Canis lupus familiaris: one gene and its partners. The protein of the gene in region 2 interacts with the protein of the main gene of each other region in a biochemical or structural test. Links are inferred from orthologs where the notes say so. Each region holds a gene or a part of one and is shown on either strand. Other genes may lie near its edges.

What was found.
Region 1: the proteins of GRB2 (region 2) and RAPGEF1 form a complex in vitro, tested with the Homo sapiens proteins (2 studies listed by BioGRID and IntAct, with this or other methods). The link is inferred for Canis lupus familiaris from reciprocal best matches to the Homo sapiens genes GRB2 and RAPGEF1.
Region 3: the proteins of GRB2 (region 2) and PTPRA form a complex in vitro, tested with the Homo sapiens proteins (3 studies listed by BioGRID and IntAct). The link is inferred for Canis lupus familiaris from reciprocal best matches to the Homo sapiens genes GRB2 and PTPRA.
Region 4: the proteins of GRB2 (region 2) and ITK form a complex in vitro, tested with the Homo sapiens proteins (2 studies listed by BioGRID). The link is inferred for Canis lupus familiaris from reciprocal best matches to the Homo sapiens genes GRB2 and ITK.
Region 5: the proteins of GRB2 (region 2) and PLCG1 form a complex in vitro, tested with the Homo sapiens proteins (2 studies listed by BioGRID). The link is inferred for Canis lupus familiaris from reciprocal best matches to the Homo sapiens genes GRB2 and PLCG1.
Region 6: the proteins of GRB2 (region 2) and GAB1 form a complex in vitro, tested with the Homo sapiens proteins (5 studies listed by BioGRID and IntAct, with this or other methods). The link is inferred for Canis lupus familiaris from reciprocal best matches to the Homo sapiens genes GRB2 and GAB1.
Region 7: the proteins of GRB2 (region 2) and FRS2 form a complex in vitro, tested with the Homo sapiens proteins (2 studies listed by BioGRID, with this or other methods). The link is inferred for Canis lupus familiaris from reciprocal best matches to the Homo sapiens genes GRB2 and FRS2.

The regions. Positions count from the first base shown.
Region 1 is NC_049230.1:52,543,264-52,547,592, reverse strand, and holds the start of RAPGEF1 (rap guanine nucleotide exchange factor 1), read right to left. Parts: upstream 2,988-4,329; 5' UTR 2,633-2,987; coding exon 2,569-2,632; intron 1-2,568. UniProt on the Homo sapiens protein: Guanine nucleotide-releasing protein that binds to SH3 domain of CRK and GRB2/ASH. Transduces signals from CRK to activate RAS. Involved in cell branching and adhesion mediated by BCAR1-CRK-RAPGEF1 signaling and activation of RAP1.
Region 2 is NC_049230.1:5,987,341-5,991,514, forward strand, and holds the start of GRB2 (growth factor receptor-bound protein 2), read left to right. Parts: upstream 1-1,249; 5' UTR 1,250-1,401; intron 1,402-4,174. UniProt on the Homo sapiens protein: Non-enzymatic adapter protein that plays a pivotal role in precisely regulated signaling cascades from cell surface receptors to cellular responses, including signaling transduction and gene expression.
Region 3 is NC_049245.1:18,845,235-18,849,469, forward strand, and holds the start of PTPRA (receptor-type tyrosine-protein phosphatase alpha), read right to left. Parts: upstream 2,830-4,235; 5' UTR 2,700-2,829; intron 1-2,699. UniProt on the Homo sapiens protein: Tyrosine protein phosphatase which is involved in integrin-mediated focal adhesion formation.
Region 4 is NC_049225.1:53,850,055-53,854,481, reverse strand, and holds the start of ITK (tyrosine-protein kinase ITK/TSK), read left to right. Parts: upstream 1-1,518; coding exon 1,519-1,656; intron 1,657-4,427. UniProt on the Homo sapiens protein: Tyrosine kinase that plays an essential role in regulation of the adaptive immune response. Regulates the development, function and differentiation of conventional T-cells and nonconventional NKT-cells.
Region 5 is NC_049245.1:29,785,879-29,789,022, forward strand, and holds the end of PLCG1 (1-phosphatidylinositol 4,5-bisphosphate phosphodiesterase gamma-1), read left to right. Parts: intron 1-33; coding exon 34-195; intron 196-309; coding exon 310-398; intron 399-476; coding exon 477-661; intron 662-831; coding exon 832-874; 3' UTR 875-2,605; downstream 2,606-3,144. UniProt on the Homo sapiens protein: Mediates the production of the second messenger molecules diacylglycerol (DAG) and inositol 1,4,5-trisphosphate (IP3). Plays an important role in the regulation of intracellular signaling cascades.
Region 6 is NC_049240.1:731,062-734,791, forward strand, and holds part of GAB1 (GRB2-associated-binding protein 1), read right to left. Parts: intron 2,178-3,730; coding exon 2,088-2,177; intron 355-2,087; coding exon 261-354; intron 1-260. UniProt on the Homo sapiens protein: Adapter protein that plays a role in intracellular signaling cascades triggered by activated receptor-type kinases. Plays a role in FGFR1 signaling. Probably involved in signaling by the epidermal growth factor receptor (EGFR) and the insulin receptor (INSR).
Region 7 is NC_049231.1:11,804,394-11,808,907, reverse strand, and holds the start of FRS2 (fibroblast growth factor receptor substrate 2), read right to left. Parts: upstream 2,857-4,514; 5' UTR 2,708-2,856; intron 1-2,707. UniProt on the Homo sapiens protein: Adapter protein that links activated FGR and NGF receptors to downstream signaling pathways.

The DNA of each region.
Region 1 (4,329 bases), about 47 Mb from region 2:
AGGGCAAATAAGGATTTCCTTTAAATTTGCTTTTGAAATGTATTCTGGGCTTGACCTTCCTAATCACAAATGTCTGGCTCTGGTTAAAAGTCTGTATTCCCAGGAGCCCCTGCCACTACAGGGCAACAGACAGGACGGAGAAGTCAGGAGCAGCCTGAGCTGTTTGTACCAAATGCACATAAAGATGTGTTTCCCATTCACTTGGCCCAAAAGCAGACCCTGACACCCTGTTGTTCTGCTTTGGAGCATGGAGTCATCAGTCATCCACTGAGATGTTGAGTGTAGACTATGGAAAATATACTCAGATCAGGGTCAGAGGGGTGTCTGGGATTCACAAAATCTGGTTCCTAAATATTGCTCTAAAATCCCATTTCTAAAACATCAACAACCCTTAAAGACGCAGCCAAACAGATAAACTGTGAAGGACTGCTCCACACCCTTGCTACTGCAGATCCTTAGCAGGGGTTCCCTGGATTCGGGGTCAGGGAAACAAACCCCTATCCCAGGGTCTAAACTGCATAAACAAATCTCAACACTGGCCAAAATGTACTCCTGGTCAACGGGACCCATGCAGACTCAGAAATCAGGGCAGGGAGCTGCTCTTTCTTTTACCCCAACTCACAGTGAACCTTGCAATGCCTGCTATTACTCACCACACTCCCACAGCTCCTCTTATTGAAACTACTGAACACAAACTGTAAAATAAAACACAGAGGCTGGCTTTAATTTTGCCTGTAAACCAGGCTGCTTCCAATGGTTAATTTCAAGAACTTTTATACATTTTTCTAAAAAACAAAACAAAACAAAAACACCAGAGATTATCTGAAAGTAAATATATTAAATTCCTGTTATAAAAGTAGTGCTTTTGAATTACTGGATTTTTATGATGATTTTCTTGTTAGTGGCTAGAGAGATCAACCCATGTAGCACTGAGTAAGTCCTGGATCCTGACCCACCTCAGTAAATAACCATGTCTGCTGAGATTCATTCTTCTGAAGGATACTGTACTGTGATGCAACCAGCAACCATTTTTGTAATGGTGTCCCCTCCTGGTTAGTAAAAATACATTAAAGAAAGTATAACAAGCCTCACAGAACCATTACCTGGATTCTTTTTTTTTTTAATATTTTATTTATTATTTATTTGAGTGAGAGAAAGAGAAAGCACACATGAGTGGGGTGAGGGGCAGACGGAGAAGCAAGCTCCCTGCTGAGCAGAGAGCCAGATGTGGGCTCTATCCTGGGACACTGGGATCATGACCTGAGCCAAAGGCAGATGCTTAAACTGACTGCGACACCCAGGTGCCCCAATTACCTGGATTCTGACACTTGTCAAATTTATACTATTTTGCTTCTCTGTATGTATATATGCACTCATTCACCTGAACCACTTTGGAATAAAATTATAGACAGTATAATGCTTCACCCCTAAATACTTTAGCATGACTATCCAAAAGGACATTCTCCTGCATGACTCATTACCATCATTATACAAAATAAAATCAGCAATAGTCCCCAGATATCATCTATTACCCAGTTCATATCAAACTTCCTGAATGGTCCCCCAAATGTCTTTCTCACTGTTTTGTTCAAACCAGGACCCAAAGACCACTAGTGATTACTTTTTTCATCGTAGCATGTCAGACAAAGGATGACTGACAGAGGGACAGGAACTTGACATGAAATAAGCAGCCTACCTACTTTTCCCTTTTAAAAAGAACAAGTTACCCATAACCTGACCACAGAGGACAACTATTGTTAGCATTTCCATAGATTTCTTCCAGGTTACATTTTCCACATAAACACATATCCATATATATATATACAGGTGCATTCAAACTGTCTTGCTGCTGGTCAAGTGCTAGCTCTGCTTTCTGTGGCAAGTGGAGGTAAAAGCCAAGACCTGAAGTCCCAAAGGCCTACGGCTGGGCTGCAGGGTTAATGACCGTGAAAAAAGCAGCTCAGTACACTGGAAAACTAAGTTGCCCTGGGACATGGCTAAATGGGTCCCCAGTTTCAGGTGTGCCATGGCAGTGCTTGTGGTCTCACTGGCTTCCTCCTCCTCAAGACTGACACTAACACAAACCCTTTAAGAGACATCGAGTATGGTCAGTCAATGCTGGCCAGTATCATGGGCATCTAGGACAGGTTAACCTAAGATTTCCAACAGAATGTACTTTGAATTCTTCGGAAGAAGAACGATATATATTTAAAGCTATTAATAACATTCTCTCACCAAACTGTTACAAAAGATTCAAGCTCCTGGCTATCAAGATTTTTATTTGGGATATTTCTTAAAGCTTAGAATTTTCGATTGGCAGATACATGCTGCAGTGAGCACAAACCTGGAGCTGCACTTCATTCTCAGCCAGGCTATGATAGCACACTGAGATACAGATCACTTTAATCATCAGGAGAGCTGTTAATTTTCTTTAAAATATGTTGACCTACAGAGCCTTTGTGGTGTGGAAGGTGTTTGCCAAGCAGTTCCAGCTTTGGTGCGGAGCCAAAATATCCTAATGCAAGGCTGCCTCCTTTCTCCTGGAGACAAAGCCCAGGGCCTGCTTACCTTGCTTCCAGGGGCACAGACGGCTTCGCTTCCGGGGCTTCTGTTTCTCAGCAGCATTGCCCATTCTAAAGCCAGAAGCTCACAGGGTCCTCCCAAGCCTAGAGGTCTTTGCTGAACAGGGAGTAAGGACCAAGGTGCCGGCTGAAAGGGACTTCATCTCTCCAACATCCCAATCACCTCGCAAGCCCTGGCAAACCCTTCCAAGAAAAATCTGAAATTCTGTTCAGAGCAGTCCTTGCCTCCTGCCTTTCAAACTCCCTTTGCTTCCAGGGAGGAAGCCAGAAGAAAAGACTTGTTATCGCCCCACGGGTGGGTCTCCGTCCCCCATCAGTCCATCTATATTAGGAAGCTCTTCCTTGGCCTTCCTTTGACACTCTATTACTCATCGGCACAGCAGCGGCCTCAGAGTGAACTGCACTTCCAAACACTTTCAATGCTGCCTTTCCTTGGGGGAGGAGTGGCAAACTGGGTGGCCAAAAAGCTGAAAGTTAAAAACGGACCAATTCGGGATGTGCCGTGAGAAACATTTTCCAAGCTTGAGATTTAGTGAGATATTCTTAAGAACAGGCTATTCTATTTATCTTTACATACCTCTAGAAAGTTTACATTTGAATCATTTGGGGATTCCTGGAGAAGCAGCTGAACCATAGGGTCCTCATTTCAAAGCTGTTCTCTCAAAGAAATTTCTAGTTTATTTGTAAGGTTCATCAATAAATCAGCTGTTTCTGTCTCGAAATGCATTTTCTGGGGATCCCTGGTTGGCTCAGCGGTTTAGCACCTGCCTTCGGCCCAGGGCATGATCCTGGAGTCCCGGGATCCTGGAGTCCCGGGATCAAGTCCCACATCAGGCTCCCTGCATGGAGCCTGCTTCTCCCTCTGCCGGTGTCTCTGCCTTTCTCTGTGTCTCTCATGAATAAACAAATAAAATCTTTAAATCTAAAATCTAAAAAAAAAAAAAATCAAAATGCATTTTCTTATGAAAGCACTGTATAAATGTACTTGTGACCCATCTTCAGTCCACACATTAGGGAGGCAACATGGGACTCTAACAGTCGAGATGAATCAACAATGAAATGGTACCAGTAGAACACTCACTGCACTGCTGATATGATGTGGTTCCATTTTTTGCACTAATGCCTCAAGGATGACATGGATGTATGAACTGCTTAGAATCACACCTACTTGGCCACATGTTATCAGTTACCCCTTGAGGTATCACTACCAAAAGCCCAAATCGCTCACAGAAGGGGAGGGTCCACCAAACTTCTCCTCTATTTTAGAGATGAAGCCAGGAGGGGATCAAGGCTACATAGCTGGTGAAACAGCTAGATCTAGCTCCATCTTTACTCTTGGCTAGAAAAGCCACTACCCATTTCCTCACGACTGGAGAAGGCAGGAGATCGGGAAAGGTGCTGGCCCTGGAGGGAAGCTGGCCTGATCCGAATCTGTGGGCACTTCCCAGGTGGGTAGCTCTGCAACAAGAACTTAACCTCCCTGGACCTGATCTTTTTCACTTATGTAAAATGTGTACAATCATGCTGCCTACTTCATAGGACAGTTTAAAGGTTAACCATGCTGTTTAAGGAAGTGCCTGGCAGGTGGCAGATACTCTTAATGAAGAGGGACTCTTGCTGTTTTTATTATTTTATTAACTGTAAACATCCAGCTTTAGATATGTTAAAGAGAAATTATTTACCCTCGAAGGGTTTTTTTCTCCCCATATCAGGGTGAGATCCGTCGCAAAATTCTGGTAAATTCCTC
Region 2 (4,174 bases):
ATCTGCTGCTCCCCCGTTCTCACCCGCCTCACACAGGAATCGAACAACTTAGCATCGCACAGAACACGACTCTCTCTCACGCCTCCGTTCCTTTGTACAGGCATGCGGTTCCCTTCGCCCGAAGCGCCTTTCCCCGACAGCTCCGTCTAGTGAACTCCTACTCGTCCTCCAAGACTCAGCTCAGACATCATCATCACCTTCTCTGGGAGGCTATTCTGAGATGGGCAGAGTAGCAGTTCTCCCTCCCATCTTTTTAGCTTCCTCAGCATTCTCCCAAATAATTCTAACATTGCATATGGCATTTTTTTGTTTTCTTCCGCTCCTCTAATTTTTTAAAAGATTTTACTTATTCAAGATTTTATTTATTCAATTCATTTTTAAGATTTTATTTATTCAAGATTTGATTTATTCAATTCATTTTTTAAGATTTTATTTATTCATTTATTCATTTATTATTCATAAGATTTCATTTATTCATTATTATTCACACACAGAGGCAGAAACATAGGCAGAGAGAGAAGCAGGCTCCATGCAGGGAGCCCAATGTGGGATTCGGTTCAGGGACTCAAGGATGACGACCTGAGCCAAAGAAAGATGCTCAACCGCTGAGCCAGCCAAGCCTCCCTCTCCGGCTCCTGTAGACCGCGATTTCCTCGATTTCCTCGAGGGCCGAGATACCTGTTCATCATTGTACCTCTTTACCCAACACCTGTATACCTATACCTATGCCTAGGATTAGCACACATCAGGCACTTGATTAGACCCATGAGCGAAGAATATGTTCATTCGTCTAACAGTGCGGTTTGGACCGAATTCTCAAGCATTTCAAAAGCTGGTCCTCTATTTGGAGCGCTTCAGGATAGAGGGAGATTCCGACATCCCCCGGCAAAATCCTCGGTTTGATGGCAGGAAAAGGGAAGTGATTAGGCTGTGATGAAGAGTTGCTCCTTCAGGGCTCAGCTGTCATCTACCCTCCTTGGCACAGAGAGGGTTACAGCGACCCAGAGGCGGGGCCACGTGGGTGCCACCTGCTCCGGGGCGGTCTGGCGCAGGCGCCCTGGCGTCTAGACGGCGGCTACCTGCGGGGCCCCGGCCGAGGAGGAGCGCGTGCGCTCTGGGCCTTTTCCGCCGGGGGAAGTCTCGCGGGGGCGGGGCGAGGCGGGACGGGGCGGGGCCGCGCGGGGAAGTTCTCGCGGGACCCCGACGAGGAGCGGAAGCCAGGCGGCTGTGTTGCTGCTGCTAGCGAGCGAGCGGGCGGCGGCGGCGGCGGCTGCGACGAAGACTGAAGCGGCGACGGCGGCGGGAGCAGGCGCTGCCCTCGGGGAGCAGCAGCGCGGTCCGCGGCCGCTCGCACCGCTGCAGACGGGTCGGCCGGGCGCGGAGCGGAGCTGCTGCGCCACGGTGAGTACGGGCGGCGGCGGCGGCGGCGGCGGCGGCGGCGCTGCTGCTGCTCCGGTGCTGCTGCTCCCCTGCTCGGCAGCGGGAGGTGGCCCGCGAGGACCGGGCCCGGTCTACCGAGGGCTGCCAGGGTTGGGGATCAGGGTCGGGGCGACGAGGCCTGGCGCGGAGAACGGAGTCCCCCGGGCTCCGTATTTCCCTTTTTGGGGCGCTTCCTTCCTGGGGACCGTCCTTCCCTTAGCTTAGCTCGGGGCAGGAGGCCGGGTGCGCCTCTTTAAGTTTCACGCTTTCTCGGGGGACGGCTTGCGCAGAGGGGCCCGGGAGAACCCCGGGAGCCCTGGGTACTCATTCTGTGAGTCAGTCTGACTCGGCCCGGCCCGGGAGGCGGGGGATTCGCCGCGGCTGCAAGTGTGGTGATTGATGCTCTTGCGACCTGCACGGCCACCACGTCACCATCTCCCGGTGTCTTTGGGCCAGAATTTGGGGAGGGAGCCCACCGACCCTATGAATACCGTGATTTAGAACTTTTGCTGCCGGAGCCAGCTGAGATGTCTAGTTTTTTTGTTTTTGTTTTTTTGAAACTACACTGAAAAATACTTGTAAAGAACAATAAGCAGCAGTTGGTTGGAAATGCTCCGAGGAAAGGTTTCTGTGCAAGAGGATAAGGAAGGCACTGGTATTTTTCATTTGCATCGCTCTCCATATACGCCCCGTGAGTTAACAGCTCGTTTAGGGAGTTCTTCCAAAAGGTACGATTTGCAGAGGAGCCGAAGTGCACTCGACCTGTGTCTTTTGGTACTGTTGACTCAGAAAAGAGCCCAAAAGACACATGAAAGAAGATAGCATATCTCTTTGGCTTTCCTGTCTCTCTCTCTCACTTTATACTTCTCCAGTAGTTGCCTTCCCTTTCTACCTACTTGTCTCCATTTTCACTGGGGACACTAAGTGTTTGCTTGTGTAATGCAAGTCATTTGCTCATCCCTCCCCCCCTTCTTCTAATCTACTTCCCCTTCCTCCTTTTTGTCCCCTCTTTGGCATAATTTTTCAAGGTTTCTGCCCTTTGGTGCAGTTTGTCTTCTCCCTCATTTAAAGATTCCGTTTTCTCTCCGGGGAAGATACCCTTTTTCCTGCTTTATCCTTCACTTTGAAGCGTCCACTGTGTTCCTTCAGTCAGCCAGAAGAGTTGCCAGAGAGCCTTGGGAGACTTTAAGTTCTCCCCCTGGGAACTGGGAGGCTCAAAGGATTGAATTCATCCGTAAGTAATCAATACTGCCACTAGGTCACAAGTGTAGCTTGCTTGTGTTATTTGTGTTTTAGTTGTTCTCTTCATTTTAACATTGTGCTTTTGTGCCTGCTTACACTTTTCTTCCTATGTCTCTTTTATACTAGTAAGGAAGATTGGGTCAATTTGGGGTTTGTAGGACTTCTTTTTCGGCTTTTAGTGGGAGTGGTGTGTGTTAGAAAATGAAAACCAACCTTAGACCTATGTTACAGTAGAATTAAGATAACATTAAATATTTAAGGGAATAGAATTTCTTTAGATCACTGATGAATTAAAACTTGCCCATTGGGCAGCCCCGGTGGCGCAGCGGTTTAGCGCTGCCTGCAGCCCAGGGCGTGATCCTGGTAGACCTGGGATCGAGTTCCACATCGGGCTCCCTGCATGGAGCCTGCTTCTCCTCTGCCTGTGTCTCTGCCTCTCTCTCTCTCTCTCTCTCGCTCTGTGTCTCTCATGAATAAATAAAATAAAATATTTAAAAAAAAAAACAACTTGCCCATTGTGGCAATTGGATTCTTTACCAGGGTTCTTCTAATGGGGCATCGTTGTTACTGTTCTTGGGGTTTTTTCGATATAAATAACTGTTTCATTACTCCTTCCTTTGTCCAAAATTTTCTGAATTCCCAAAATAAAAACCGAAGTTAATTCTTGTAATTGGCTTTCTTTGATACTAAAAGCAAGCATTTAAGTGCTTGAGGCAGTTTACTCCCTTAGCAAGTGTATTCAGATTTGAGGGATTGCTGGGTTTTAAATACTACTAGTTGATGGTACTTAGCAGTTTTTTTGAGAAATTGCTGTTATGTTGCCTGTTGTGCAGCAGCAGTTCTGATTGTTGCCTAGAACAAAATAATAATAGATTTTGGAGAAATTAATACAGAATAGAGATGTACCATGCTCTCCTGAGAGAAATTAATAGTTCCTTGCTTAGTTCAAAAGACTTTCCTAGCACTACTGAAAGGCTATTGAGAGCCCTTGGTTTTATTTGTTAAAGTTGGCTTTTTCCTAGTTGAGCCAAGTGAATGTGCATTACTTTTATTTTATGCAAAGACATTGTAGTGCATTATCTGGAATGCAAAGTTTGAAATCTGGTTAAGGCATTCTACTAGTACAGCAGTGATTCTTAAAATTTAGCATGCTTAAGAATTACCTGTGAATCTGGGATGCCTGGGTGGCTCAGGAGGTTGAGCATCTGCCTTTGGCTCAGGGCGTGATCCCGGGGTTCTGGGATCGAGTCCCACATCAGGCTCCCTGCTACGAGCCTGCTTCTCTCTCTGCCTGTGTCTCTGCCTCTTTCTCTCTCATGAATAAATAAATAAAATCTTAAAAAAAAAAAAAAAAGAATTACCTGTGAATCTTATTTTAAATTAGGCTCTGGGGCTAAGGCCACTACATTGCAAAACTCCAGAAGGCATCCCACAGTGAATCAGTGTCTGAATGAGACTATTTTGATGCAGCTGGTCCAAGGACCAAAACTGTTGTTACAGAATGCAGCTGTAA
Region 3 (4,235 bases), on a different chromosome or scaffold from region 2:
TCTGCTGGAGTGTTTCATCACATTTATTTATCTTTTCCTGAAACTGAGGATTCTCTCTAGCCCTCCCTGGGTCTTAAGAGGCTATAACTCCACCTCTGTGGGGCCTGAGCATTGCCTCCAAATTGAGGGGCATCAGCTTCTGGCCCCACACTGACCCTAAATGACCTTTCCAAAGCCCAGCCAGTCGAGGTCCCTAACCATCTTTAAAATCCTTCAGTGGCTCGGGCAGCCCGGGTGGCTCAGCGGTTTAGCACCGCCTTCAGCCCAGGGCATGATCCTGGAGACCGGGGAGTCCCACAACAGGCTCCCTGCCGTCACTGCCTCTCCCCCCACCCCCGTGTCTCTCATGAATAAATAAAATCTTAAAAAAAAAAAAAATCCTTCAGTGGCTCTCCACTGCCCAAACTCAAAAACAGCACAGAGAGCCCTGCAAGCTCACTCTAATCTCATCTCCCTTCCTTCTCCCCTCTACCCAACTCAGTTGTTTTAACCTCTGCTCCCCAAGGACAGTGGACTCTTTCCACCTCCAAGCCCTCACATGATGCTTCTTCTTTCCTACAATCTGTCCACAACACACAAACTCAGTACGCATCCTTTGTGACCCAAAGGTCCCCTCCCAGGAAAGGAATGCTCTCTATACAGCCTGGCAGATGTTCTGGAACTAGACTGCCAAGATTCAAATCCTGACTATTCCCTCATGTGCCCTTTATATGGCCTCAGTTTCCACCTTGCCAAATAGGAATAAGCCCCTAATCGACCACTGAAATGATTAAATAAGATAATTCATGGAATGAATTTATTACACAGTCTCTCACAAGGCAAATAAAAGACAACAGTTATTATCATTACTACATTCTCATAGTACTTGTGAGGTTTTTGTATCCACCTGTCCTGAGAGCTCCTAAAAAGTAAAGATTTGACTTCTTTGCTTCTATTTTGTATTCCAAGCTCTTTACCTGGCAAATAGAAGGCACATGAACACCTTTACTTAAGTCAGCTGATTGGCTTTTCTGGTTCTGAATTTCATCCAGATGGTAAGTAAGTGACTAAAAGGTACCCACCCAGCGAATTGCCTCCTGGATCCCACATGCCTTGGAATACACATAGTAGCCAGGCCACCTGGGGCAGGCAGAGGTGAAAAGAGATCATGGGGCTTTGAGGCTTTCAGAGACAGTCAAGCAGATTGGAAACCAGTGGGATATGAGATCTGCCAGTTCCTGCCTGCTGACTACTTATGGCGACTGGATGAGAACAGACACAAGAGATGGGCAATCTGAGATACTAAATATCCTAGATGTGCCATACACTCCAAGTAGGCCTTTGGGAAACACTCAGGAAAAGATTCTCTCAGCAAGTGGGTACCTGGAAGTAAACAGAGACGAGACATATGGGGAAAGAGCTGGAATGGGACCTACAAGACAATTGAGAAGAAGAATCGTCTTGGCATGGGGGATGGAAAGGTAAACATGACACAGCTCCTGGCCTCAAGAAGCTTCTCAAATCAGAAGATCTTTAAAGACAGAGGCAGAGCTTGGCAGATTAAAGAAGGGGGAAGAAAGAGGATCACACAAGCACATCCAAACATGTGAGGAGGCAGTCAAGCAGCTCCAAAGGGCTAGGAAAGAGGGAAAGGAAAATCGAAAAACTAAGCTATGAGTAAATAGAGGCAAGACCGTCCAGGGCCTTGTATGACTTGATAAGACATTTTGGGCTTCATTCATCCCATGGGAAAAGGAGAGCGAGGAGTTTTTAAGTAAACAAGTGACAGCATCAGATCCGTGTTTTTTTGCAGGAGTGGCCAGGCAGGAAGATGTTCGCCCATCTTCCACCCTCAGCTCTCTCTTCGCCCACCATCTTCTGGTTCTAGGCTGCCTTAAACAGCAAGCAGGTGGCAAATGAAGACATCTCCTGGGAGATGCGACTGGTTCTAGAGCACAAATCCCTACCCTGGGTACAGGTTTCTGAAGGCATTTTACCCGCCGAGGGAGGTTTTGAACATTCCTCTTTTCCAATCTTACAAACATCATCACTGATCTCGGGGGGGGGGGGGGGGGGTACCTCAGCTCTGCCATTATTATTTTCATCTTCAAGAAATACAATCAAGAACTAATTTAAAATTAAAACACACGTTATTCTTTATTTACCAAAAGTAAAAAAAAAAAAGAAGGGGAATCCGCATTCCCGACTGGCTCATTTTGAATTCTGGGCAGCTCTGACCCCCTATTTCCCTTCTTAAGCAGCCTCGACAGTTGGGAGTGGGCGGAAAAGAAAGGGGCCTGAGCCAGAGGCCAGGGGGGTTAAGGCAAAGAAAAGTTAGTCTCCGCAAGAGCAAATTTTCTCATGCCAGGAGTCTTCGCCTTTCTTCCCATTACATGGACCGGCGCAAATTCTGTCTTCACTGTTCCAAGTTTCTCCCTTCAGAATGAACTACGGCAGCACCCTGGCCTGGCCCCAGAAGGACGCACGCGAAGTTCTCGGGCCGTCGAGAGGGGTCGGCGCCCTGTCCCGCACGTTTCCGGGGACACCCCCCCCCCCCCCGCACCGACAGCGCAAGGACGCGGGGTCCCACTGGAGCTGCCTGACGGGTTCTGCCGGGAACAGAGGACCTGGGGCTCCGGCCGGCGAGCCCTCCCACACGCAGCCTGGAGCCGCCCCCCCTCGCGGAGCCCACCCGGGCGGCGGCGGCCGCGAGCACTCACCGAGTCCAGCGCTGGGCGGGACCGCTGGGAACGAGGACGGCGGCTCCGCCTCGACTCCGCGGCGGCGTCTCGGCCCGCCACACGCCCTCAGGGCCGCCGCCCGGCCCGCGGCTCGGAGCTCCGCGGCGGCGGCGGCGGCCTCGCCTCCATGGCGAGGGGAAGCGGCTGAGGGGCGACTGGGCGGGCGGCGGTGATGGCGGCCGCGGCCCGGGGTCCGAACTGGCTGGCGCGCGCGCGTCTCTGTCAGCGCCGCACTCGCCGCAGCCTCGCTCCCGACCCGGCCTTGGCTGTAAGGTGGGCCCTGATTGGCGGTTCAGAGACAGGCGCTGATTGGCCCACACCGAACGGGCGTCTCCCAGCCCTAGCGGGCCCCGCCCTGCGCGCCTCCGAGCGCTCGCTTGCAAGCACGCCTGGGGCGCTGAGCTGGGTCTCACGGTCTCGACCGCTTCTGCGCGGCGTGGGAGGTGTGCGTGCACCCCGCGGCCGCCCAGACCCCGGGAGCACTGGCAGCCCGTGCACCACGCCTTCCGCCTCTTTACAGTCCCAGCCCCTTGGACGTGGGCCTTCCAGTTTACAGATGAGGAAACTGAGGCCAAATACGAATTGTGCCAATGTCTAGAAACCAAGACGGACTGCGACTCAAAAACTATCTTTCCATCCCTCTCTCCAAATGTATTCCATTCCTACTCCCCCGCCCCTCCCCATTGCTGCAAGGTATTCAAAGGACGTAGGCTTTCTCGGCGAGAAGAACCCGCGAAGTGCCTGGAATGGACCTGGCGCCATAGATGTCGTCTTACATCAAGTCAGCTCACACCATCCCCACCCAAGCCCCAGGGAAATCACTCCCGCCTTCTAGTTGCGCGTACCGGGGCCTGCTTTGCCACCGAGCCGACTAGAAATGTGACACATGGTGTTCTGCCGTTGGGGGCGGGGGGGAGGTTCAAAGGGAGAGAGGATCCGGAGATGCGTCCCGCTGTTGCGGTCGGGGTCGGGATTGCGCGCGCGGACCCCTTCCCAGGGGTCCCTACCGCACGCGTGGTGCCCCAAAGCTATGCATACGTCTTGTCCCGCAGCTGTGGTTCCCAGGCTACGGGACTTGGGCATACGCGGCTGAAGGCCAGGGGACATGGTCGAGGTGGGTGGCGGGTGACACATTCCGCTGATTGTGGCCCCCATACAAGGGCCCTCAGACGCTCCAGGCCCCGCTCCACGGCGAGTGGTTGGGCATCTGCAGGCTGGAGACAGATTGCACAGCAGTGTGCAAGCAGAGCTTGCTGGGTGACCCTCAATTCCGGACCCCAAGTCCGCGCCGCCTGCGTTGGGTGGAGGAGCGCCCCAGGGGAAGAATCTGTGGCCAGCGGCAACTCTTCTGACAAGGGGTACCTGGGGGTACATTTTGGTGCAGAAGGAGCCCACATATCGGCAACTATTTCCTCGGGTTGGTGCCCCTATCACCTCCAGTCCCCACCACTGCCTAAGGTTGAGGCGCCAATTTAGGACTGTTTACACTCTCCCCTCTCCTCATTTATGGGATAA
Region 4 (4,427 bases), on a different chromosome or scaffold from region 2:
TACAATGACAATGGTCATGATGGGTATAAAGAGAAAGGTGTAAGGTATCATCTACGTATAATTAGCGAATTTGATTTAGGAAAGCCAGAAAAGCTTCCCTGAGGAAGTGACATGCAGGCTAAGACTTGCAGTATAATTTAGAGTTAAAACAGGCAAATCAGAGGAGAGAAGCTGTTTTCAGGCTAAATGAGGTGTTCAAAGTGGTATAAGGAGCATACATGAGGGCTGGAGTGAGAATGTGTGAGCAAGCTGTGAGATGAGACTGGCAAGGAAGCCAGAGAGCAGCCCTGCAGTGCCTTTGTATAGGAGCACTGCTATCCCCTTTCACAGATTAAAAAAAAACTGAGGCTCAGAACTCTTGAGTAATTTACCTAGAGTCTTACAGCTAGTTAGGTGGTAGCGCCTGAATTCAAAGTGTGGTAGAGAGAAGAATAGATCCCCTAAAGATGTCGATGCCTAATCTCTGGAACCTGTGAATGTGTTAGGTTACATGACAAAGGAGAATTAAGGTAGATGATGGAATTAAGGTTTCTAATAAACTGACATTAAAATAGGGTGATTATTTTATATTATCTTGGCAGACCAGGGTAATCTCAAGGGTCCTTATATTTGGAAGAGGAGGGGATCCCTGGATGGCTCAGCAGATTAGCACCTGCCTTTGGCCCAGGGCATGATCCTGGAGTCCCGGGATCGAGTCCCACATCAGGCTCCCTGCATGGAGCCTGCTTCTCCCTCTGCCTGTGTCTCTCTCTGTATTTCTCATGAATAAATAAATAAAATCTTTAAACATTTTTTGGAAGAGGAGGACAGAAGAGCTTACAGTGGTACAAAGTGAGAGAACTCGACCAGATCTTGTTGGCTTTGAAGATGGAGGAAGGGAACCATGAGCCAAGGAATACAGGTAGTCCTAGAAGCAAAAAGGGCAAGGAAGCAGATTCTACCCTAGAGATCCTCCAGAAAGGATCACAAACCTGCTGAAACCTGGATTTTAGCCTGGTGAGGCCTATTTTGGACTTCTGAACTACAGAATTGTGAGATAATACATTTGTGAGCCACTGACTTTGTGATAATTTGTCAGCAGCAAGAGGAAACTAGTGCACAAACTATACCCATTGGCTCCAGAGCCCGTGTTCCCACCCTAATAGCAACACGCCTTAACTGTTCAATGGGCTAAATCAGGAACTATAAAGATTAAAGTCTAAAGCTTCCTATCATTTTGAGTCTAAGATTCTTCAAATATCATTTCCCAACCATACAGCCAAGGTTATGTATAGTTTTTACATACGCTTCTTAGTTTTGTGAATTTTGAAAGGATGTGGTTATAGCCTTTGACATCAGAGGAGAAGCTCCACGTTGTTGACTGAACACTGATCAAAAGATAGCTTCGGAGGCAAGAGGCCTTTTAACAACTCTTTGAAGATCAACTGCCTCCCCTGTGCAGTCCTCACCCCAAAGCTGTTTCCACAGGTGGTGCCACGGGGTGATGCCCAAAGTGCATCACTTCCCAAGAATTGGATCATGAACAACTTTATCCTCCTGGAAGAACAACTCATCAAGAAATCACAACAAAAGAGAAGAACTTCTCCCTCAAACTTTAAAGTCCGTTTCTTTGTTTTAACCAAAACCAGCCTGGCATACTTTGAGAATCGTCACGGGGTATGTGAGCACTTTGTCTTGTCTTTTTTTAAGCAGTATTTTTTATTTAGATGGGGCTGAATCATGAAGATACACATGGAATAAAATAAAGCCAAAGGAGACACAGACGTGCTTGTTCTAACTGCCTCAAAAGTACAATAAGAATCATCAGAAGAGAATGTGGAGAAAAGTCCAGAGGTGGGGTGGTTGTATTCGGTGATTTTATTCTAAAACCTGCAAAAGAATATGTTTAATATTCGTTAGTGATTTTTTTCCTGCAAGTTCAAGTTTAAAATAATAATGTTTTATATGGCAAATGTTATGATTGGATAGAATTTTAGCTTCATCTGAAATATACTAGATTTTATGGAACATAGATTAATAAAATATTAGCATTTAATGGGATCTAAGAGATAATTTTTGCCCAGTTTCCTTAATTTATAGTGGGGGAAACTGATACTTGGAATGATTAAGTAATAATTCAATGTCAACATTTTTATGAATTTAATTCTATTTGTCCCACTGTCATTACTCACTTGATATCTTGGAATAATATTCCCTGGGCATTTAACTATGTTAAAATTGCAAGACCCAGTGGTAAACCTCTTTATCCCTTGGAAAACTTAGCCAGAGACAGGAGCTGTTGCAGTGCTCTGCAGTACAGATCAATAGTTCTTATCCAGAAGACTACAGCTGCTTAGCTAGGTCAGTCTTCTTATATATCTAGAGATACTCTTATATTCTATAAGATCAGTAATATTATGATTGTTCATGTTGCTCTTATTATCACTGATAATAATGCTGATAATAACCCTGGTTATTAGACCAAACTCTACTCTCTCTCGTGATTGAGCCTGGGAACATGTCTACTTTTTGCATCAGATTATTTCTTTCTATAATGAAAGGTCTGGAGGGACTACCTACAACATTCCTTTCGTCTTTAAAAATTCTTGTACCTGTTTAGGCCTTCTTAGCAAATTTTCAAAGCTTGTGTGTGACTTATTACTATATCATTATTTATTTTTCCCATTATTAAGGAAGTTAGGCAAGAGTTTTCACTTACATTTTACAGAAGGGGAAACAACATTATGTGCTTGGTGGTCACTTAGAGACAAAGACATCTCCATTCCTAGTTGGGATCTGACTTAGTAGGTATAGGCATGAGTTTGGGATCTTTCAAGAGCCAGGCTTTGAGGTGTTCAATAAAATGGAGCCCTGAAGGAGGTCAGACTGGTGATGGAACCTGTGGATGCTGCCAGTGAAATCATACTGCTGCTTCTTTAGAGGTTCAGACATGCTAATCTTCAGGATACTTGTACTGAAAATAATCAATAATCAATCTGAAGGCACATGGTATTACTTATGGACAAGGTCCCTTTGCTAGATACTCAGTAAGTATTTGTTAACTAAGTTAACAGACAGCCAGTAGCCAACTTGGAGGATTCATCATATATAGCTGATAAATCACATGGCATGGGTCAATTTTTTTCTTACTGTGATATTATAACTTGGTTTCTTCTTTCATATTGAGAGAAGAGTCATTTGATTTAAATATCTTTTTCAAAGCCCATTTTGTAGCTTTCACCACTTTGTTTTCCAGGCATCATGAGCTTTAGTTAGCAGTGATCATTTTTAAGCAGTGTTGCTGTTTATGGGCTGTTTGGTTGTGAATTTAGTACAATATTATTTACAAATAATCACACAACCAAAAGGTCTTGATTCAGATTTTTGTTGGTTATAATTTGCATATAGGCAATGTTGTAAAATCACTCTACTTATTCATTTAAGTATTCTTAAAAAACTCCAGGACACTTAATTCTGGGGTGCCAAAGCTAGAGTTCCTAACATTTCCATACAGGATATAGCAGATATATAGTGCACAAACATCACATTTTTTGTTTTCTAATGCCTGTGGTTCATATTCATATGCAACATTGATAAAAGCATTTCTTTAAATATTGTAAAAATCCATTGGTTACAAATTTATCCAAGGTCACTGAGAAAGGTAAGGTGTGTGAGTTGTTAGTATCCATGCCCTATATATGATCCGTTGTTTAGGGTCATTGATTTGCACACAAGTGTGCACTATGTATTACCTGTAAGTGACAATAGCTCTATGCTTATGGGAAGAAATGTTTCTTAAAAACTTAAAGCCTCAGCCTTATCATCTGTGAAGTGGATATGATAATAGTACTCGCTTCACGAGAATATGGTAAAGATTAACAGAGAGAATGTATTTAGACTAAACTATCTGAAATTACCACTCAGTAGATCAAAAAAGACCAGATATTAGCAATTTCGTATAGTTCAACTTAATATGTAATGTACTTAGTTAGCATAAGCCCTGCCACCTAAGAAGCACCTAGTAGAAATTAGTCATTATTTGTATCATCATCATGTCTCTAAAGGAGCAAGCAGGGGAACATAACATATTCATTTTCAAAGGAAGAAAAACATTGAAATGTTTCTCAAAGCCAGGCTAACGTCAGGGTCCTGGATTCTTTCTATTCAGTGATTAAATGCAAGTCTATGGAGATATATATGCATGATGTGTGATGCTGAACCAACTATTGCCCCTCTCGGGGTCACAGCTGCTTTTTCTCTTTGCTCATTTTTAAAAATTATGTTCCTTGTAGTTTTAAGATTCTGTGGATTTATGACATCATATGAAAAATAATCCAACCTACTCAGAAAAAAATTCTGTAATTTTGCAAATGAAGTGTGTTTTTCCTAACTTTAAATATCCATGTCTGAATATCCATATGATTGAGCCTCTTATTCTAACCAGGATT
Region 5 (3,144 bases), on a different chromosome or scaffold from region 2:
GTGGCCTGAGGCCTTTTACCCTGACTTTCACAGTGGACAATGGACTGAACCCTGTGTGGCCTGCTAAGCCCTTCCACTTCCAGATCAGTAACCCAGAATTCGCCTTTTTGCGCTTTGTGGTGTATGAGGAAGACATGTTTAGTGACCAGAACTTCCTGGCTCAGGCTACATTCCCGGTGAAAGGCCTGAAGACAGGTGAGGCCTTTCCTAGGGACAGGGCCTGGGCTCTAGCCCGGGGGCCAGGGCAGGTGGGGGGCTCCCCCTGCCCAGCTGCCTCCTGGGCTGAGGGCCAGGCTTTCCTCCTTCCAGGATACAGAGCTGTGCCTTTGAAGAACAACTACAGTGAGGACCTAGAGCTGGCCTCCCTGCTCGTCAAGATCGACGTGTTCCCTGCCAAGGTAAGGGTGGTGTGGGTGGCGGGGAGCCTCTCCAGGCCCCAGGAGGTGCTGACCCCTCGTGCACTGCTGTTGTTGAAGCAGGAGAATGGGGACCTCAGTCCCTTCGGGATGTCTCTTCGGGAGCGAGGCTCTGATGCCTCAGGCCAGCTGTTCCATGGCCGGGCCCGTGAAGGTTCCTTTGAGGCCCGCTACCAGCAGCCATTTGAGGACTTTCGTATCTCCCAGGAGCACCTGGCAGACCATTTTGACAGTCGGGAACGGAGGTGAGGGGATAGAGGATGGGGGGCATACTGGAGTGATGGGAAGGAGCGCCTGCTGCCCCTTCTGGGTCCTTCTCTTGCTTCTGTGTAGAAGTTACCCTTGTCTGGCTTTGGGCTGTCCCACTGGACTGGAGGCTCCACTGCCGATGAGGACACTCCCTCCTTCTGTCCAGGGCCCCACGGAGGACACGGGTCAACGGAGACAACCGCCTCTAGTTGTGCGCCAGCCTCGTTGAGAGCAGCAGGTGCCGCGTGCCTCCTGGAGTGCCGTGAGCTGGGTTCTTGGGAAGTGGCCTGTCGTGGCAGCCTTCCTGGCCCTGAGGCCTGGAACCTGGATTCCAGCAGTGACTGCTAGACAAAGCCAAGCCATGAATGAGATATATTACTGTTTGGGGCCTCCCTGCCGCAGCTCTGGGTGAAGGCAAAAACTGTACTGTGTCTCAAATTAATTAAGCACACATATCTGGTCCTGACTTCTGGAGATGGAGCCTTCCATCATGGGGCCGGGACCATGGCTGCAGCCCCTTGAAGAGAGAGGCTGCCTCAGCCCGCAGCTCGGGAGGCTCTGAGGAATGGCTGACCTTTCTAAGAGAGGAGCCGCAGCCGCCTCACTGGGCCAGGGAAACAAACCCAAGTTTACATTGTCCTGTAGCTTTAAATCTCCAGCTGGGCAGGGGTGGGGGCACATACCCCCCCCCCCCCCCCCGCAGTTTGGCCCCCGAGCTGGGGCAGAGGAGCACAGGATCTGCCTACAGAGGGGCCCCGCCTGCTCGAGGAAGACGACACAGCACAAGGGCGCGCTGCCCGTGGCCGGGGACTGCCCAGCCTGCAAGATACAGGGGATCATGTTAGAAATAGCAGCAGTGGGCAGCCCAGGCTGCCACTCGGGCCACTGGGTGAGGGGCCTGAGGAGCCGAGCCCCAGGGAGCTGCCTGGAGGAGGGACAGCAGCACCTCAGGACCATGGGAGGAGGAGGAGCAGGACCTAGACACCCCGTACTGCCATGGGCTATACCACCTGCCTGCTGCCCGAAGCCAGGGGCTGGCCCCAAGGTTGATGCTCTGGGTGCGAACCTGGAGTCCAGAACTGCTCACCAGGATGCCAGAGTTTGGGGATGTGCTGGCCCAGCTGCACGGCAAGTCCTGCCACACAGCAAGGGAGCCACCCGAAGGCAGAAGGTCTAAGAGCGCCATCGACAGCCTGGAGGCCTTTGTCGGAGACCGTGCCGGTGGGGCCAGGATGGCTGGGATGGAGCAGGTCACGGGCCACAGCAGGGATGTTCCCCAGTGCATTCAGGAAGCCCCTGCACACACAGACATGCCTCCTTCCAGGCGCCCTCCAGCAGGCCGGCTGGGGACCCCCACCCCCGCCCCCCGTCCCAGTTCAGACTGAAGACCACTCTCCCTATTGCAGCAGAAGACCTGGGATCGAAGTCTGCAGACAGCACTGCAGGAGGATGCGGAGATGATCCTGAGTGTTCGTTAAACCAGTCGAAAGTCCTGTTACTGGGCATCTGTGATGTTGGAGATGGAATTTTAAAGGTTATTTTTTGCACACCCCATTTCTCACTATCTTCATTATTTCATGTAGGTGTATGATTTTCTAGGTCTTCCACTTCTAACCGGAAAGCTGCTTGGTTGGGGTGGGGAGCAAAAATGAATGAACTTGTCTGTGCACTGTGGCAGAACTGTTATTTTTATGGATTTTACAGCTCAACTAACAGTGTTACTTTTCAAGATTTATATATTTATATACTCTTAAGAAAAACCACTGAGCCGTTAAAGCCTTGTTATTATTCGATCCTAATAGTGATTCCGTTTTCTATAGCTTACTTTTAGGGTAGAAGGTAAATTATTTAACGTTCTATTAAACTTTCCATATCATGGATTGTAAACCGAAGGAAATTATACAATTTCTGAGAAAATGTATTGGTTTATTTAAACCTAATTCCAAGGTTGTCTTTGCAATTATGACCTCCCAGTCTTGTCCATAGCAAACACATCTCTATATGGTTGCCAGTGTTTGGTTTATAATTTAAATATTAACAAAAATCTTAAACTTTATGGGAAAAGCTTTACTTCTGAAAAGGACTTTAAATGATGGCAGTACTATTTTCCTTCTCAGTAGTATCATACGTAACTAAGTTACTTCCTCCTGCTCTTCACCGTGGGAGGGAAGTCTTGAGGCAGAGCCCAGGGGAGGGGAGGGCGGGAGAGGGGGAGGCTATGACCTGTCCTGTGGACACACCTGTCCTGTGCTGTGGGGCCACTGGGACTGCGGACGGTAAGGCTGTCAGGGATGGGGTAGGGGCAGGAAGAGAAGAAAGAGTAAAGCCTATTCTGACAGGTGGTTTTCTGTATGCTTTCCCTTAGGAATGAAAGATGGTTAAGGAATTGCCTGCTTTGTGGGGAGGTGTGGGGACAGCTGCTGTGCAGCCAGCCGCTTCTGTCTAGCTGGGGGAAGGTGTGGGAAGGCAGCCCCACTGG
Region 6 (3,730 bases), on a different chromosome or scaffold from region 2:
GTACACAAATACGTGTTCTATTTATTAGCTGTCCCAGGATATGATCAAATACTATGTAGCCTGTGGAAAGCTCCAGCAAACACTCATGAGAGAAAGAGAGTGGAAAAGGCAAAAAATATCTTATCATCTTAATGAAAATAGTTTTGACCTCACAGAACTCCAGAGAGGGGGGGCTTCCCAGGCCATACCCTGGGAGCCACTGTTCTGGTAGTTTCCATCATAGTGAACAACCAAGGTACATATTTTAAACAAAGACTTACTCTCGAGCAAAACTCCTAGTGATGGGAGATCTAACTGGGGCCTGTAGTTCTTCCCATTCTGGCAAAGGTTTTATTTCTAAAGGCGCTGGCTTGGCTGAAATGAAAGAGAGAAAAAGAGGCTTCAGTACACGGAAATTTGGAAAACAAAACAAGATCCTCACTCTCTCTCTCTCCTTATACAATACGGCCAGAGTACACCTAAGAGCAGCTGGCTTCACAAATGAGATGAGCTTCACAGATGTTCTGTGATTTGCCCAAGGTTACACAGCTAAATGATTAGGGACAAAAGCTAAATCCAATAATGCTTCATGATGGTTGACTCAAAGTCTGAAGCTTTATTACAACACATTACTTCTTAATATTTTATGAAAATAAACTAAATGAGAAGAAACGGTAATGTGACCCAATTCCTTTATAGTTACTTGATGTATTATTTCCTTATATCCTTCATTATTATTTCCTTATATCCTTTTTTAAAAAATAATTTTATCTCCAAGTATAGAGCTTTAGTCTTCTATGGAAAAACATTTCTACTCTTCAATATTGATGCATCAGTTATACAATTATATATATAAAATGATGTATAGAAAGTATTAAATACAAAACTTTGCCAAAATCAAAAACTGAAAAATAACTGACCAAATCTTTTAAATTATTTCAAATCCAGTCTGAAAACAAAGAAAGCAATAATAATATTTTAAGACTCAAACTCAGCTCTGAGAGAAGGCCATAATTAAAAATCACCTTGAACTTTTAGCTTAATATAACCAAAAATATCCTTTACCAAATCAAACAATAATAAACACTAATATTCTTTTTAGCTTGACTTATAAGTGGTCTCTGCTTATTTACCTCATTATTACCATAGACAATTATCATGCTAGTAAATACCACAGAGCTCTCAGCACTTAAAAAGTAAAACATTTCAGAAATTAATGGACAAAAGAACTAATACAAATGTGATATGTTAATATTAATTATATTTTAGGAGACTCTTTAAACATATTAGGAGAATATTCTAGTTACATTTCATCTCGCCACTCCAAAGAAAAATTTTTCATTTTTCTAGGTTTCTTTCTTCCACTCTTAGTCCATATATGGGCATACTTTTATTCAACTCATACTTTTAATCAACTATGTTGTAATTACTGTCAAACTATAAAATAGGTGGTCATTTTAAAGGACTATGTAGAGTCACTGGAGCTTATAAATATTTTTGTCTATTCAAAACAAAAAACTCAATGTGATTTTCTGAAGACTAGGTAAGTCTGAGTTTAAATCTTACTCACCCATATACTTAAAATGGACAGACACAGAATATTGTGCTGAGTAAATGTACTTCTTTAACTCTCATGTTTCACTTTTTCGAAACCCAAAGGCTAATGGCAGTTTAGCTGTCAAATTCTAAGTAATGGCATAAAATAATTAATCCACGGGAAGTGATTCTGTATTTTGTTTCAGAACAGAATACAGACCACATCATATATAAATAAGGGAGACATCTGGAACTCACAAGTAGTTCATAAGCTTAAATACAACAATGTATTGATATCTAAAAGTTTAAGAGAATAATGCAAAAGGACAAGACTAAATATTATGTATTATCAAATTTAACATGCTGCTGTTAATGGCATAACAAGTAGACTTACTGTGTCTATGGAAAGACACAATGGGAAGACACACATTATAGGAAGCATTCACTTTAGAAATAACATGCTAGGAAGCTTTATTTACAACAGCAGTAGTACTTAAGGCTCTTCTTAAGAAAAAAACATCACAAAATAAATTCCCAATGCCCCATCCAGCATGCGGTGCTAAAGTACATACCCTTTCTTCTTGTAGCAAAGTCACCTATGGTTTGTGAATCAGTTCGCTCTAAACCATGGGGTTTGGGTCTTAAAATTTTAGGACTTTGACCTAATTGGTAAAAAGAAGACTCTCTTAATATAATGTTATTTTTTAATGGGAAAAATGGATTCTGTAAAAAAAGCATACAGAGCCCTGAGCAGAAATGTTACAATCTCAAAAGCATAAACAAAAGTTTGTGGAAAATATTTCAATCTTGTTCAGTATATCGTTCATGCTCGGTACAATGGAAAGAAGAACTTACATGCAACAGTGTGACAAGCAAAGTATTTAAGAGATGGTAGGGTTTTAGTGGGATAACCACACTGGTTAGTGGTTATCTTTATTTGGGGAAAGGGAGGAAAGACATGTGCCATGTTAGTTATTCCTCTAACATGCCTTAGAAAACTGGATCAAATAAAAAATGATAAAATACCTCAAAGTACATCTTTTCTTCAAAGTCTGACGTCTGATAAGAAAGTATCAAAGCCTATATCCCTATAATATTACTTTCTTAATTTAATGTAGGTATTTAAAAACCCTTAACCTAACTTACTCCTTCACCTCCTGACCAAGGGCCCTTCTAGAGGAGCAGGTTAACGCTACACTGTTTGGTAATCCAAGACCAAAACCGAGACCAATGTTTGTTTCCCTTGGATACCGACTGGTAGGTCCCAGGCAACATCATTTTGTAATTATTAGAGGTCTTAATTCTGGAAGTGACTGTCTAGCTTCGATGTTAAGTGTCTGAAAACATAGATTCAGTCGCCCTCGTTTTCTTTTCATGTACTCTCCCACACAGAGGTACTGCTGGAAAGCCTCATGAAAAGGATAGGGTTAACATCCTGCAGTGGCCTCACTTTTTCCCATAGGAAGCCTGGAGGCCGGAGTAGAAATATCATTTAAATTAGTAACTTAAGCTGCTCTCTTCTCAGTGGCACCAAATTTTCTTCTTTTTTTGGCATTTACAAAACTGAGTCAACATCTATTAGCAGAATTAGAATTTGCTGATTGAGTGTCAATATCTAGTACCTTCTCTACTGCAGGTTAAGTTTCTTAAAGTATGAATCTCTAGGTTATAAAACGTGACAATTCTCTAATGAACCAATTTTCTAAGTTAGGGAATTAATACATTGAGTTCATTCAGAAATGAGGCAGGTATAGTTTAAAATGTGAGTGAGAAAATTTAGGGCTGTGCTCCTACCCCTAATGCTGAATACCTATCCAGGGCCCACGCTGGCAGGGAACTTTCCTAAAAACAACGGAGGATGTCAGTTTTTTATAAACTCCCCGAAACAATGTACTTTCCTTCAAAAAAAGTAAGAGGCGGAGGGTAAGGGTTGCTACAAAAAAATATACTTATTTTTACAGCTAAAAGCCTTTTTTTTTACAGATCAAATCTAACTTCTTCATTTTATGGATGCGATAACCCTGACGAATGAAAGAGGTTAAGTGACTTGCTTGGGTCATGACATTAATTACGGAGGCCAAACGAAGGCTTCCCCATAGCTGCCTGCTGGCGTATGCTCCTGTGCTGTCCGGCTGTTGTACTTCTCTATCCCCTTGGGCAATGGAAAATCCTAGGAAACCGGTGCTTAGAGGTCAATTTTGAATTGCTCAGTTCA
Region 7 (4,514 bases), on a different chromosome or scaffold from region 2:
GACCCCTAAATTCTTGTGTCAGAAAAGTCTCACCCTCTGCAATGTTAAACTCAGGCTACCAGTTTATTGAGAAGTAGCATGATGGAGTGGAAATGCACAGGCTTTGACACCAGGCAGACCTGGATTCAAACTGAGGCTCAGCTACCTAACATACTTAAGCATTGCCCTCATTATTTATTAAGATGCTTTTATGTCGTTGTGAAGCTTAGAAAATGTACGTAGTGTGACCAGCATGAAGCGTGATGCCAAGTGCTCAACAGCTTCAGAGTGCTCTTTTATCTCCACCACTTTCTACTTTTTAGCTGCTTACTCCAGTTAAAAATGAACCCATTTTCTTTTCATAGAACTCCAAACTTTAGGTCATCCCACTCACACAGTATTTACATACTTTTATGTAAATATCTTACATCTCAGGACTTCTAGATTTCAAATTCCTAAAGACCAAATGCTTCATCTTTGTATCCTATAATGCCTAACAGTACTTTTCATAAAACACACAACACCCACCTCTAATTAGAAAAAAAATTTTAATATGCCCAAGCAATACAATTCACCTCTTCATGATTTCTGACACACCTTAGAAAATTATTGCCAAAACATGAATTTTAATGGTTACGGCTGTATATTCATTCCTACGCGGTTGCCTAACAGAGCTTGATGCCTAACATAGCAAAAATTCAGTACTCATTGACTTCAATAATACAATAAAATTTACAATGCAAATATTCAACATCTATCGAATGGACCTGAACCTAATGAAATTTACAGAGCCTAAGGGCACCTGAAATTCCCCAACTGCCTTTTTCTGCTCTTACAATTCTTTAAATATTTCTCCTTCAAAACACCTATCATACTATCAAAAAACCTATCATACTATCCTACTTGCACTATGGATCCATGATCATATCTAACTTGACTCCTTTTGCAGGTTTTCTCAATTCCAATATTCCAACCGTAAGCTCTAAACAATCAAGCATTGCAAATGGCTAAGAATCCACAATGTCTAAATCTAATTTAACTTTTCCCCCCACCAGGGACTGTAAAAATCAACCACCCTTTGACCACAATCAATAAAGGAATAAAAGAAACAAGAATTTCTAAAAAGTCAGCCACCCTTTGCCTGCTGAAAAATCAACAACACTGAAATAACTTTTCTTTTGCACAGGAAGAGAGCTCACTGAACTCACCACTTCAGTCTATTTTTCCCTAATGCAGGATATTACCTCCCCTTTCAGCAGTGGGAGGAGAGAGAATGAGATAAGTACCTAAAAAAACTACAGTATACATCTTAATATAAGCACAAGGTGAGAAGCACAGGAAAAGGGTCACTGGCTTCACAATAAACGGTTTGTGTGCACTTTACATTGCAAAAAATAAAAATAAAAAAAAATGCAATGGTCATCTGCAGCCGGTCACAACCCTCAGTGAATGCATTTGCATTCTCTTGCCATCATCATTGAAAAATCACTATTAAATGCAGAAAAGCCTCGTTGCATACAAACCTCCCCCCTGCCCCCCCCCACACACAGTCTAGTAGCTAAGAACTAAGTCCACTAAAAAACACTACCTACCTACTGCATCGTTTTCTCCTCTAGGAAATTCTCAATTTATCCGAGGTAAAGCTCAAAATGCAGCTTAACACACACACACACACACACACACACACACACCACCTCTATCCACCTGTGACAACCTCTGCATTGCAGCACAACTGGAACCTCTAAGGAGCCACTGAGAAAAAAAAAAGAAAGAAAGAAAACAGTCTTTGAAAGTTAAGGAAAATGACAGGTCCAAAAATACGAAGGTATAGGGCAGCCCGGTGGCTCAGCGGGTGAGCACCTGCCTGCGGCCCAGGGCGTGACCCCGGGGACCAGGGATCCAGCCCCACGTCGGGCTCCCTGCGTGGAGCCTGCTGCTCCCACTGCCTGGGTCTCTGCCTCTGTGTGTGTGTGTGTGTGTCTCATGAATAAATAAATAAAATCTTAAAAAAATAATAAAAAGACATATATGAAGATATACAAACTTCAGGGAAGAGGGGGCACAGTGATTCTCCAACCTCCGGCCGTCAATTCGTGCAATAACCGCAAGCTGAAGCCGTCATCCCACTGTGACTCCGGGGTGGCCACAACAATCAGGAGCGCCGATTAGAGAACAGCTTCCCTTTCCCCCCCCTTTTTTTTCCTTTTTTCTTTCCTTTTTTTTTTTTTTAAGTGTGGGAGAAAATAAGGGAAGTTAAGTACTGATATCCCTCCGGCAAGCTGTCTTCCTCAACGCCTTGCAGCGGCCGCCCGAGCAGGCTCTCCGGGGAGCGGGGAGCGGGGAGCGGGGCAGGCGCGCTGCGGGCCCCGCACACCCGGTGCCCCCGGGGCGCCGTCCCGAGGCGCTCCCCCGGCGCGTGTGGACGAGCAGCGCCGCGGAGGACCCCCGGCTGCCGCCCCCGAGGGCACCAACGTCGGGACCTGCAGCCCGAGGCCGAGCCCAGGGCCGGCGGCGGAGAGCGCGCCCGGGAGGCGGCGCCGAGACCCGGGGCGCCGAGGCCCGGCCCGGCCCCGCTCTCAGGTCCCGGGACCCCGCGCCCCGGCCCCGCCCCGCCCGCCCCCCGCACTCGCCCGGGGCGCCGGCGGCCGACGAGCCCCCTCCCCGGAGCCCGACAGCCCAGCCCCGCCGCGCCCCGCCGCCGTCCCGGGGCGCCCCCCCGGCCACTCACCGCCGGCCCGGGCGCTGGCAGGAGGCGGGAGCGGGTGGGCGGCCGCGGACCCCGGGCTCCAGCCCCTGCTCGGAGCCGACCGAGGCTCGGCAGCTGTGCCTGCAAGGCCTCTCTCCGGCCCGAGCCTGGGAGAAGCACTTCCGGGGAAGCGGGGGAGGGACGAGTCTTGGCACCGGAACTGCTCCCGCGCTGAGCTGCCAGCGCCTCCCGGGCGGGGCGGGGGCGGGGCCTGCGGGGGCGGGGCCTGCGGGGGGCGGGGCGGGGCTTGCGGGCGGGGGCGGGGGCGGGGCCGAGCGCGCTAAGCCCGCCCCCAGGCTGGTCGCTCACCCTTTCCGACGCCGAGGCCCCTCGGAAGCCCCGGGAGGCGCCTGCGCCCCTCACTGCGCTTCGCACTTGGTCCGCTGCAGCCGCCTATTTTCACGCGCCACGAGGCCGAGGATGGGAGCATTTGGGTGCGGGGGTCGGGCGTGCACACTTACACAGCCGGCCTCCAGACTCCTTTCCTTTTTTTTTTTTTTTAAGATTTTATTTATTTATTCATGAGAGACACGCAGAGGGAGAGACGCAGAGACACAGGCAGAGGGAGAAGCAGGCTCCATGCAGGGAGCCCGACGCGGGACTCGATCCTGAAACCCCGGGGTCACGCCCTGAGCCAAGGGCAGAGGCTCAACCGCTGAGCCACCAGGTGTCCCTCTCCAGTCCTTTCCAAATGATGATAGTTAACTCCCTGCTAGATGCTTACTACGTGTCATGCGCTGCAGGTGCCTAACCCCGTGCATCGTCCCCGAACCCTGGGAGGTGCTGGTTATCATCTGTACCTTGCATTATCTGTACCTTCCTCCTCCGATCAAAGATACCAAACCCAATACCACAAACAGTGGCTCTCGATTTTACCTTGTGTTGTGCGTATTGAATCTTTACATCTACTCCTTTTTTTTTTTTTTTTTAAGATTTTATTGATTTAGTCATGAGAGACACAGAGAGGCAGAGACAGAGGCAGAGGGAGCAAGCTCCCTGCAGGGAGCCCAATGTGGGACTCGATCCCAGGTCTCCAGGATCACGCCCTGAGCCAAAGGCAGACGCTCAACCACTGAGCCACCCAGGCGTCCCTTTACATCTACTCCTAACAAGAGTTTGAAGCGCTTTGCTTAAGGGCAGAGGGCAGGTTATGTTCCTATATTTCAGCATCACTTGGAATTTGAACAGAAGCCAAGAGCCGGGAGACTCTGGAATCTTCTTGCCTGCATCCTGCTATGGACTTTTCACTTTTTCACCTGGAGCAAGTTGCTTGACTTCTTGAAGCCCGGGTTTCCTCATTTGCGTGTGGGTGTGCATATATATGCATAGGTGTGTAATCACCTCTAGATTGTCGTAAGAATTCAAGATGACAATGATAAACGCTTGAGCGTACCCCGTACCAAGTAGGACTGGATAGAAGTCAACCTACGTCACCATCAGTGGGAACAATTTCTCCTCCTGTGGATCACTCTGGGGGCGGGTGGGCGCAGTTTGGAAAACTGTGGGTTAGCAATAGGCTCTAGAAAAGGTTAAGGAAATAAAGAGTAGAGGGTTTTGCAATAGGAAAAATGAAGGTAGGTAAGCCAGAGAATGTCCTGGGGCCAGCCTGGATACTTGTGACACTTGTGAACTGGGACAGTAGGAGGACCCACAGGGTCAGATGCCAAGCCAGGAAAGAAGGGAAGGGGGGGGTGGGAGAAACTCCTCAGCCACAAAATCCGGAAGGCACATCTGAGGCAGATTCTGTATGAGAGGCCAGATATGGGAAGGAGGGTGGGGGATCCTCTTA